Drosophila melanogaster: one gene and its partner. The protein of the gene in region 1 purifies or fractionates together with the protein of each later gene. This does not show direct contact. Each region holds a gene or a part of one and is shown in the gene's direction. Other genes may lie near its edges. The genes, in order: klar and alphaTub84D.

What was found.
Region 2: the proteins of klar (region 1) and alphaTub84D purify together in Drosophila melanogaster (affinity purification with western blotting, with the first as the bait; one study listed by BioGRID). This does not show direct contact.

What each region holds. Positions count from the first base shown.
Region 1 is NT_037436.4:537,381-542,289, reverse strand, and holds the start of klar (klarsicht), read left to right. Parts: upstream 1-1,675; 5' UTR 1,676-2,391; intron 2,392-4,909. Other genes in the region: Cypl (Cyclophilin-like), read left to right, coding at 1-60; BORCS6 (BLOC-1 related complex subunit 6), read right to left, coding at 228-273, 331-805, 862-1,249.
Region 2 is NT_033777.3:7,528,781-7,533,363, forward strand, and holds alphaTub84D (alpha-Tubulin at 84D), read left to right. Parts: upstream 1-1,972; 5' UTR 1,973-2,478; coding exon 2,479-3,831; 3' UTR 3,832-3,952; downstream 3,953-4,583. Other genes in the region: Rtnl2, read right to left, coding at 175-467, 540-1,014. UniProt on the Drosophila melanogaster protein: Tubulin is the major constituent of microtubules, a cylinder consisting of laterally associated linear protofilaments composed of alpha- and beta-tubulin heterodimers.

The sequences.
Region 1 (4,909 bases):
AAGAACGATCGCCCCGTGGATCCCCTAAGGATCATCAAGGCCAAGGTGGAGAAGCTGTGAGCCAAGGAGGTGGATTTTTTGGAGGAACTGCTAGAATAAGTACGATTTAAACAAGCGAAAGGTATCTTTCCATATGGATTTTATAACACTGATTATATGTATTTACGGAATGACTAGAAAGACAAGATCTCTTTGATTGGTTGATCACAGGATAGCGTAGCCCTATTTTACATGGTGCTGTCCAACATGTCCACCAGCCGCTTGATCTGCCTTCTGCGGAAGAGAAAGTCCATTACACTAAAGGGATCTGTCTTGAATTGACCCACTTACATGCGCTGACCCAGCTGCTCTGTGGGTTTCATCGACTTGGTGATTTCCTCCGCCTTGGCCAGCAATTGGTACTGGCACTTGATATTCGCGTCCAAAGTGTCCGTCAGCTTGTTGACCGCGTTGCGATGGACCTCCACGTTGTCGGCCGTTATGGAGGAGATTGAGTGCAGCAGGTTGCCCAGGTTTTCCATCAGATTGTCCACCGAGCTGGCCAAGTACTGAGCCTCCAGTTCGATGTCGCTCAAGACGCTGCCGTCCACTTCGGGAATGTTGCGCGACTGCAGGAACCGCCGCGTGAGCAGACCGTTGCCGGAAGTGGCTCCAATGGGACCCATGGAGCTCAGGGGCGTGGTGTGCTCCGAGGAGTAGGCCGAAGCCGCCACGCGCTCGCGCAACTTGGCCTCTAGATCGTGGGCCACAAAGTGGCGCATCCCGTCGGAGTCACTGGTTTCGCCGTCCAGCTCGTAGGGCACAGCTGAAAGAAGGAAGATGCTTTAGTCAGGAACTATGGGTAGATAACCTAGAACCCACTGCTCTCTGCCTTCAGTCTGTGCCTTTCGATGTCGCCGGAACTGCCCTTAGAGTTGCTATTCGAGTTGCTGTTGTCCTCCTCCTCCAAGGGATCGTCTTCCTCGTCGGGATCCTCGCCCGAATCCAGGTTAAGGTATTTCTCGCCGTTGGGTCTTGTCTTTGTGCTTCCGGGAATCGCAGCATGGCCAGTGGCTGTGGGCGTCAGATCCTGGAGCACGTGCTCTGGCACCGCTCCCGGATACTGAGCCAGGAACGGAATTTCCGTGTAGGAGGAGGCGGGCGTGGCTCCGGATCCAGAACTCCTGGCTGCCCCTTCCGATGGGCCACTCTCCTCGGCCACATAACCGTAACGTGGGCGGATGGGAATGTCCTGGTGGCGGTGCGACATTCTGCACTGCTCTTTTCAATCCAAGGAACTTTAGGCAGACTAAGAAATGTATGTCAATTTTCTGAATGAAAACCAAAACAAAGCATTTACTGGTATATACCAAATGGTTATCGATAACATCTATTTATCGAATGTATTTGCATTAGGCCCTGTTCAGGCTGAGGTCCACCTTACCTATATCGAGCCTTTTTTACGTAGGATTGACCTATGCAACTTGATGTGCGTAAACTATATTTTCCTAACCCTGATGGAAATTTCGGTTTTAGTGAGAAACAGATTTCAGATGTTATTTGGTTGAGTATATGACAGTTCGATAGTATCGCACACTTACTCTTCACGATTTTGCTTTTACCAAGAAATGGTCACACTCCAGCTCGCACTATCGAGTCATCGATAGGACCGATAGGCCAGCCCGTTAAATCGAAGACAGTCGTGTTTATAATTTGCGGCTCCGAGGTGTGCGGCGCGCATTGGGCAGACTGGAGTGAACTAAGTAAATCTGCAGCGTTCTAATTTAATTGCGCGATGAGCGCGTAAAAACACACCTGCGTAGCGCTGCAATAAAACCAATGTAGATTTTTGTTTATATGTTCGCGTTTCCATCGTATTTTTCGAGTCTTATTCGTTTTAATTGTTAGTGCTCGTACGCTAAGTGAATTGCTAGCAACTTGGGGCTAAAAGTGCCAAAAAGAGCCAGAATCGAAAAGAAGCGGCTAAAGAGGAATAAGCGAAAAGGAAGCAACGAAAACGGTGTTTTGCTCTCTTTCTCCTCTCTCATCCTCGCCATGTGTGTGCGTGTGCAAATGTGTGTGTTGGCGTCGCTAAAAAAGTGCATGTGAAGATTAGGAAAATAATAAGGAAGGCAACGAAAAGTAAAATAAAATTTGATGTACAAAATACGCAAATTGGTGACAAACAATGTACAAGTGGCATACATGAAATAAAGTTTTATGCAAAAAAAACAAAATCGACTGCAGTGCGTGCACTTGTGTGTATGTGCCGCTGCATATGTGTATGTGTGCAGTGTGGAAATAAAGCAAGAGAGAAAAAAAAACTGTTTGCAGCCGGGGTACAAATTCCAATTGGAGTCTCAAGGAGCATAAATTCCCATTCGACGCATGCGTGGCTGCTAAAAAAAGCAAGTAAGTTAAATTGTTTGTACTAAAGAATCTTATAAAATGCAACTGAAAATGGATAAAAGTGTAAAAAAAAGGAAAGACTTTTTTGCCTTCTCTGTTTTCTACGGGTACGTACGAATGTGTGTGTGTGTGTGCTCTCTTCTATTTTGTTCTTGACTTCTTGTTCTTTTCTTCTTCTTGGCCAGTTACTCTTATGCTTTGTCTTTCTTCTCAGGCCGTTCTGCTTCTTTCTTTTAACTGCAAATTGTGCAGTCAGCAAGTATGAGAGCGAGAAAGAGACAGCGATCTTTCTTTTTCACCCACCCACTTCTTCCCCTCTTCCTCTAGCGGTTATATTCGCTTTATTGTATTGGTGCTTTTCCTATCTATATCTACCGTTATGTTTCGATTGCGATTTCGTAATAACTGCGATAATATTTGCTCTCTCTCGCTCTTCTTCTCTTTCGGCTTTCCACTCTCTTCCCTTTTAGTTATGTGTGTGTAACTGCACATTTGAATTGTTGTTGTTTTTATTAAAATGCGTGGGTTGATTTTTCAATCAATCAATCAATCGTTTATTTTGGCATCGATAATATGGAAAAGTGGATTGATATGTGGACAAGAAAAGCATGTGATGAATCAGGAGAAAGGAATTACTCGATAATTAGCTTCTAACTTTTATATTCTGTAAAAAAATGTATTTTTAAACGTCTAAATCCAATAGGAAAAACAAGCAAGTTGGTCGAAAATAAAAGAACTCAATTTCTGGATCCTTGTTTTGTTAAGTATTTCCCTATTTCGCACTTTAAATTCCATTCCATTTCTATAAACAAATGTTGTCGCACTCTTACTGTTTATTTACATCGCATCGAAGAAAGATTTTCCATTTTCATGGGCGACACTTGAACGGGGTTTTCTCTGGCCTTTTCCCACAACCATTTCCTCGTCGAGCACTTAAATGAAAATGCTGTTTTTATTTATTGATTTCCATATTGCATTCATCTCGCGTTTTCCCGCTCGCCCACTCGATGACCCGCTGACCCAGCGGGAAATGGAAAATCGTTTACTGCAACATTTTACTGGTGCCCTCTTCCTAGATTTCCCACCCTCCCCTCTCGTGGGTTTCCCCATTTTCCTCGGGGCGGGGTTAAGGCGATGCCTTGGAGCAGATTAAACGCGCGTCCTAATGCGATTTGCATTCGTCTTTCCCCCGCTTTTCCTTCGACTTTCCAGTACATCGTGCCCGGTTTGGGGTCAGCGACTAGGAAATCTAATTGAGGAAATTCCTATTATTTTCCACTCGCGCGCCGCCTGCTCTTTCATTTTCATTTTCCCCAGCTTAACCCCAAAGTGTTTTGGCTTTAACGCTCACGTGCCGAGTCTCTTTGGGCCAAAGACCTGAAGTCCCAATATGTCAAAATCCCATCTCATGTGCGTGGCCAATTTTGGCCAGGTCTGGTCGGTCTTTAAGCCATGTTTCCTTCTCCTCCGAGATAAGCGTGTTAATGGCTCATTAGCAGTGGGTCGGTTTAGGTCACTTTGGAGCCAAATTGCCTAACCGAAGACTCGAAAATAAGCGAAATATCAACGAGTTTTTAGGCCCAAATCTCTCCCACACTCTTAGCGGCTCTCAAATGGCGGGAAAGTAATGAAGAAATAAATACAAATCATCCAGAAGGAAGTTGAAAATTATTGAATTCATAAAGGAAACGAAAAATCAATCCCAAAGAATGATTGTCAATATCTAATCTCCTAATGTTCGAGTTCGATTAACACAATTGTGTATAATTCCACTTTCCTCTAACTGTTTTCTTAAAATTTTTTGTAAGCCAAATTGAGGTCAGGAAAATTCTTTCAACTCTTGTTCTCTAAAAATAAAAAAACTCGGCATACAAACTTTTTGCCTGATCATCTCTACAGTCATTGTCTTCTCAATTTGGAACTAATTTGGGTAGGGAACTTCAAAAGTGCAAATGAATTTATGAACATTTGGGGTTCTTTTCTTCTGAATAGTAAAAAGGTCTTGGAAAGCAGTATTGAACAAATAGTATACTTAATAGTAGGTACGAATTACTCTAAAACCAAAAATTACAATTTTGTAACTGACATTTTATTCACACCCACTTTTAATATAACTTCTGTGGCACGCTTTTGTTATTTATCTTGCATTATTCGCCCTCATTTCTGATGCTTACATTAATGCACACCCTTCTCGGAATTCATCCCCTGCATTTTGAAGGTGTTATATGTTATATACTGACTGTTATACTGGTGTTCGTTCACCCCCTAGACTTTAAATTTCCACCCGATGTAAGCGATGTTGGTCTTCATTCTTGCTCGCCAGTTTAATTACAGCATTTCTGATCATTGATTCACTTGCTTCGCTGAGCAACTTTTACAGATGAGATCATCTCATCTGGAATTCCCCACCCCAAACCCCTTTTAATTAACAGTTTCTTATGTATGCTCGAATTTATTCCGCAATGTTTTCCACAAAGAAATTGCGCAATGATGGCGGAAATCTTTCCGAGATCTTCATCTG
Region 2 (4,583 bases), on another chromosome or scaffold:
TTCCCGAAAACCCCTTATAAATCAGAAAAGTTAAGTAATGATGTTAAAATTATGGCCAACTGATTAGAAAAGAAAAAGTATATGAGTGGAAAATATGTAGAATATATATTTCCACAACATTAATTTTGAACAATAACATCAAAGAGGGTGGATTCTTATTCATATGAATATAGTTTAGCGAGCCTCAACTGGCAAATACCGGTGCTCGCAATCAGGACAACGACATCCTTTGTGGAGCTCTAGGAGATTTCGAAGTGGCTCATTATCGCATGGCTCATATAGTACTTTGCCCTCTTTGGATTCCTGACCCTCGTATGCTGACTCCGGCGGACACTCTTTCTGAATACAAATCGGTTTTTCAACGTTCGATTTATCTATCTTGCATTTACGGAACTTTCGGATCTGGACATCAACGAATGGCTTATACGACTCGTACAGTTTTGGTACGGTAAAAATAAACAAGTGTCCTATAAAGAAAAATTATTTCAATTTAATGTAACTTTATAGATAAAGTAAAGTAAGACAACATATGCACATACCAAATATAAGCAAAGTCAATCCGTTGAAGCAATCGCCCAGCAAATTGATGCCGCAGAGCAAAACTAGGAACTTCAAGGAATCCTCCCACTTTTCCACCAGCAACAATTCTATCATACGGTTTAAAATTAAATTAATATGGGAAACTGCTTTCCCGGCCAGATAAAGAGTCTCCTCCCGGGGGATTTCTATCTTCGGGTGAGGATAGAAACGTAAGATCTGATCTTTGTTCTCATCCTTCTTCCAGATACTCCAGAACTGTACCAAAAGGCGATGGCCAATAGCTGCTATGAGAACTGTGATCCCTACCATGCTTATCACACTGATCACCGAGTGGACCATCACATCCAGCAGGAGGAGCAGGATGCCCGTGAAGACGATCAAAGTCTTTCGGCTATTGCGCCATAACAACAGGTTCTTCAGATCCATAAATATTTGGCTGGAGTCCTTAGCCTTTATCAAAGTATCGGTACTCATATTTTCGAATGTCTTTAGAGCACGTTCGGATGCTGGTTGTGAGATCAGAGCAAATAATGTTTTAAGTTTTCACAGCTGACTAATATTTCAAAGGTCAACCGAATAGACAAACTAAAATGATTTCAAATTGTCAGGTCGGAATGTATTTCGATTCACCACAATGTTTGTGTCTTGCTTCAATTCAGTTCACAGTTAAATTTGAAAAGTTTCTCGACATTGTATTTCTCAAAATGAAGAAAGCGAAGATATTCTAAAAAATATTTTTTTAAATTTTACTACATTTACCTAGCTAATACCGAATGCTTTGCGCACATTATTCATCCTTTTTTTTTAGCTAACTAGCGGGTTTAAATAGTAGTTTTTACTTACGCATCTTCAGAAAATCTTCAATTGTATGAAAATATGAATAATACACAAAATAGTAGCAGATTCCAAAAAATGTTAGCCTTTTGACACGAATAGCACAGACTGGTCCCAATATAAAGAAATACATCTGTGGATTATTTCAAAGCATACTCATTTCGCGCGCAATTAATCGATAAGTGCGCAAAATGGATCGATAACTGCGCAGTACTGTACTGCTCTCGGAAATTACTGCCTTAAAAATATACCAAGCGGGTCAAAAGAGTTCGTTGTGTTTACGGACGGGTTGCTCCATTCTTTAAAAATATATGAACATAAAAAAATTACTTACTTCTTTTATCTCTATTTCAATTTATTTTGTTCACTATGACCTACTGACTTAATGCAAAAATGCACTATTCGGTTTACATACTTTGTTCATTTTGGTAAATAGTAATAGTAGATGTTCTAAACACATGTAAAATTACTTAAACGGAACATTAGTAATTTGACGCTCTCTTGAAATAGGCATTATTAATTGTGTTAATATGCAGTTCACTTATACAAGGCATTGGTATTATTGAACTGTTTGGTATCTTTAAATTTCCCACCGGCGGTCACACTTAATCTACTGAACAAGCGTGCTTGTGCTAAATAATTTTACTGATCTTTAAATCTCGTAAATACCGCCATTTAGCCGCATCTGAACACTCTTGCCGATGGTAATCAATTATTGGCCAAGAGCTAGCAATGTTGTGTAAAAATCAGCGTGAAACTAAAGCCGAATTCAAACAAACAAACCAAAAAGCGGCCTGACAGGGTTTTTCGTGCCCCCAGAGCAAAATCGATTGGTAAAAGAAACGCGTTTCGTATAATATAGATAGTTATCTAATATCTAATCTAATATCTGAGTTGTTGTGAAGCCCTTTTTCGTAAAACAGAGCTACTGGCGATTTACGTCTGTTCGAAATCCATTCCCGGGCATTCCAACGTATACGCCCGCAGAGTCAGACCCCAAAATCCGTAGGCTTACACTTTTTCCGTTGATTTTCCGTAGTCGCGTGTGAGAAACCGAAACTCGAAACAAGAAACCCGGAATCGGAAACCCCATTAAAAATCAATATGCGCGAATGTATCTCTATCCACGTGGGCCAGGCCGGAGTCCAGATTGGAAATGCCTGCTGGGAGCTCTATTGCCTGGAGCACGGCATCCAGCCCGATGGCCAGATGCCCTCCGACAAGACCGTAGGCGGAGGTGATGACTCGTTTAACACCTTCTTCAGCGAGACTGGAGCTGGCAAGCACGTGCCTCGCGCCGTGTTCGTGGATCTGGAGCCCACTGTGGTCGACGAGGTCCGTACTGGAACCTACCGTCAGCTGTTCCACCCCGAGCAACTGATCACCGGTAAGGAGGATGCGGCCAACAACTACGCCCGTGGCCACTACACCATTGGCAAGGAGATCGTCGACCTGGTGCTGGACAGGATCCGCAAGCTGGCCGATCAATGCACCGGTCTGCAGGGCTTCCTCATCTTCCACTCGTTCGGTGGAGGTACCGGCTCCGGCTTCACCTCGCTGCTGATGGAGCGTCTCTCCGTGGACTACGGCAAGAAGTCCAAGCTGGAGTTCGCCGTGTACCCAGCTCCGCAGGTGTCCACCGCCGTGGTGGAGCCCTACAACTCCATCCTAACCACGCACACCACCCTCGAGCACTCCGACTGCGCCTTTATGGTGGACAACGAGGCCATCTACGACATCTGTCGCCGAAACCTGGACATCGAACGACCCACTTACACTAACCTGAATCGTTTAATCGGCCAAATAGTGTCCTCGATCACCGCCTCTCTGCGATTCGATGGAGCCCTAAATGTGGACCTCACCGAGTTCCAGACCAACCTGGTTCCTTACCCCCGCATCCACTTCCCGCTGGTGACGTACGCTCCCGTCATCTCCGCCGAGAAGGCCTACCACGAGCAGCTGTCGGTGGCCGAGATCACCAACGCCTGCTTCGAGCCAGCCAACCAGATGGTCAAGGTGGATCCCCGTCACGGCAAGTACATGGCCTGCTGCATGCTGTATCGCGGCGATGTGGTGCCCAAGGACGTGAACGCCGCCATCGCCACCATCAAGACAAAGCGTACCATTCAGTTCGTGGACTGGTGCCCCACCGGCTTCAAGGTGGGCATCAACTACCAGCCACCCACTGTCGTCCCAGGCGGGGATCTGGCCAAGGTGCAGCGTGCCGTGTGCATGTTGTCCAATACCACGGCTATTGCCGAGGCCTGGGCCCGTCTGGACCACAAGTTCGATCTGATGTACGCCAAGAGGGCCTTCGTCCACTGGTATGTTGGTGAGGGCATGGAGGAGGGCGAGTTCTCCGAGGCCCGTGAGGATCTGGCTGCCCTCGAGAAGGACTACGAGGAGGTCGGCATGGATTCCGGTGACGGTGAGGGCGAGGGTGCTGAGGAGTACTAGAGCGGATAGGTGTGCATCCCTCAAAATCTTGCTTATTTTCATACGCTCCCACTCGCATGTATAAATTTTCTGCGATAATGTATAGCGAACAAAGAAGAAAATAAAAACCCAAGAAAACACCAATTTATTAACCACGTTTAGTAAAAGGCACGAGAAAGTTAGTACTTTAAAATTAACTTTAATTTTATATATGACCAAAAGTCATGCATTAAAAAGTTGTTCACGTGGGGTACATCTGTATATTATTAATTTGCTTCATTTTTATTTTGTTGGTTGGTTAATGTCCTCTATTAACATAGGTTATTTATAATTTAACAGTCCACAGGAAACCGAACATCATAAAGGTGTCTTATCTAGGATTTCAACACCTGTATACAGTAAGATTAGAGAACGCTCTACCTGGCTAAACGGTAAGGTTTTACCAGGCTAGAAACTAAAACTAGAAATCCACGTATGCAAGTCGATGGATCCAGCTTTCCATATCATTCTCCAATCATCTAGGGTGTCCAAATAATATAAAGTTTTTCTTTGCTGCATAGAATTCAGCCAATAAAATTGAACAGAGATCTATCCATATTTTCATTCATTTCTATTTACTAAGCGAAGATTCATAAAAAAAAAAACCAATAGAAATAAATTTCCAGCCTTAATAATTCTTGAGATCTCGCTAGTGATCCTAATGAAGACAAATTTATATCCTCAATAGAGTTTGATTTAGATTTTTCGACGTGTAGCGAGAATAATTATTTCTT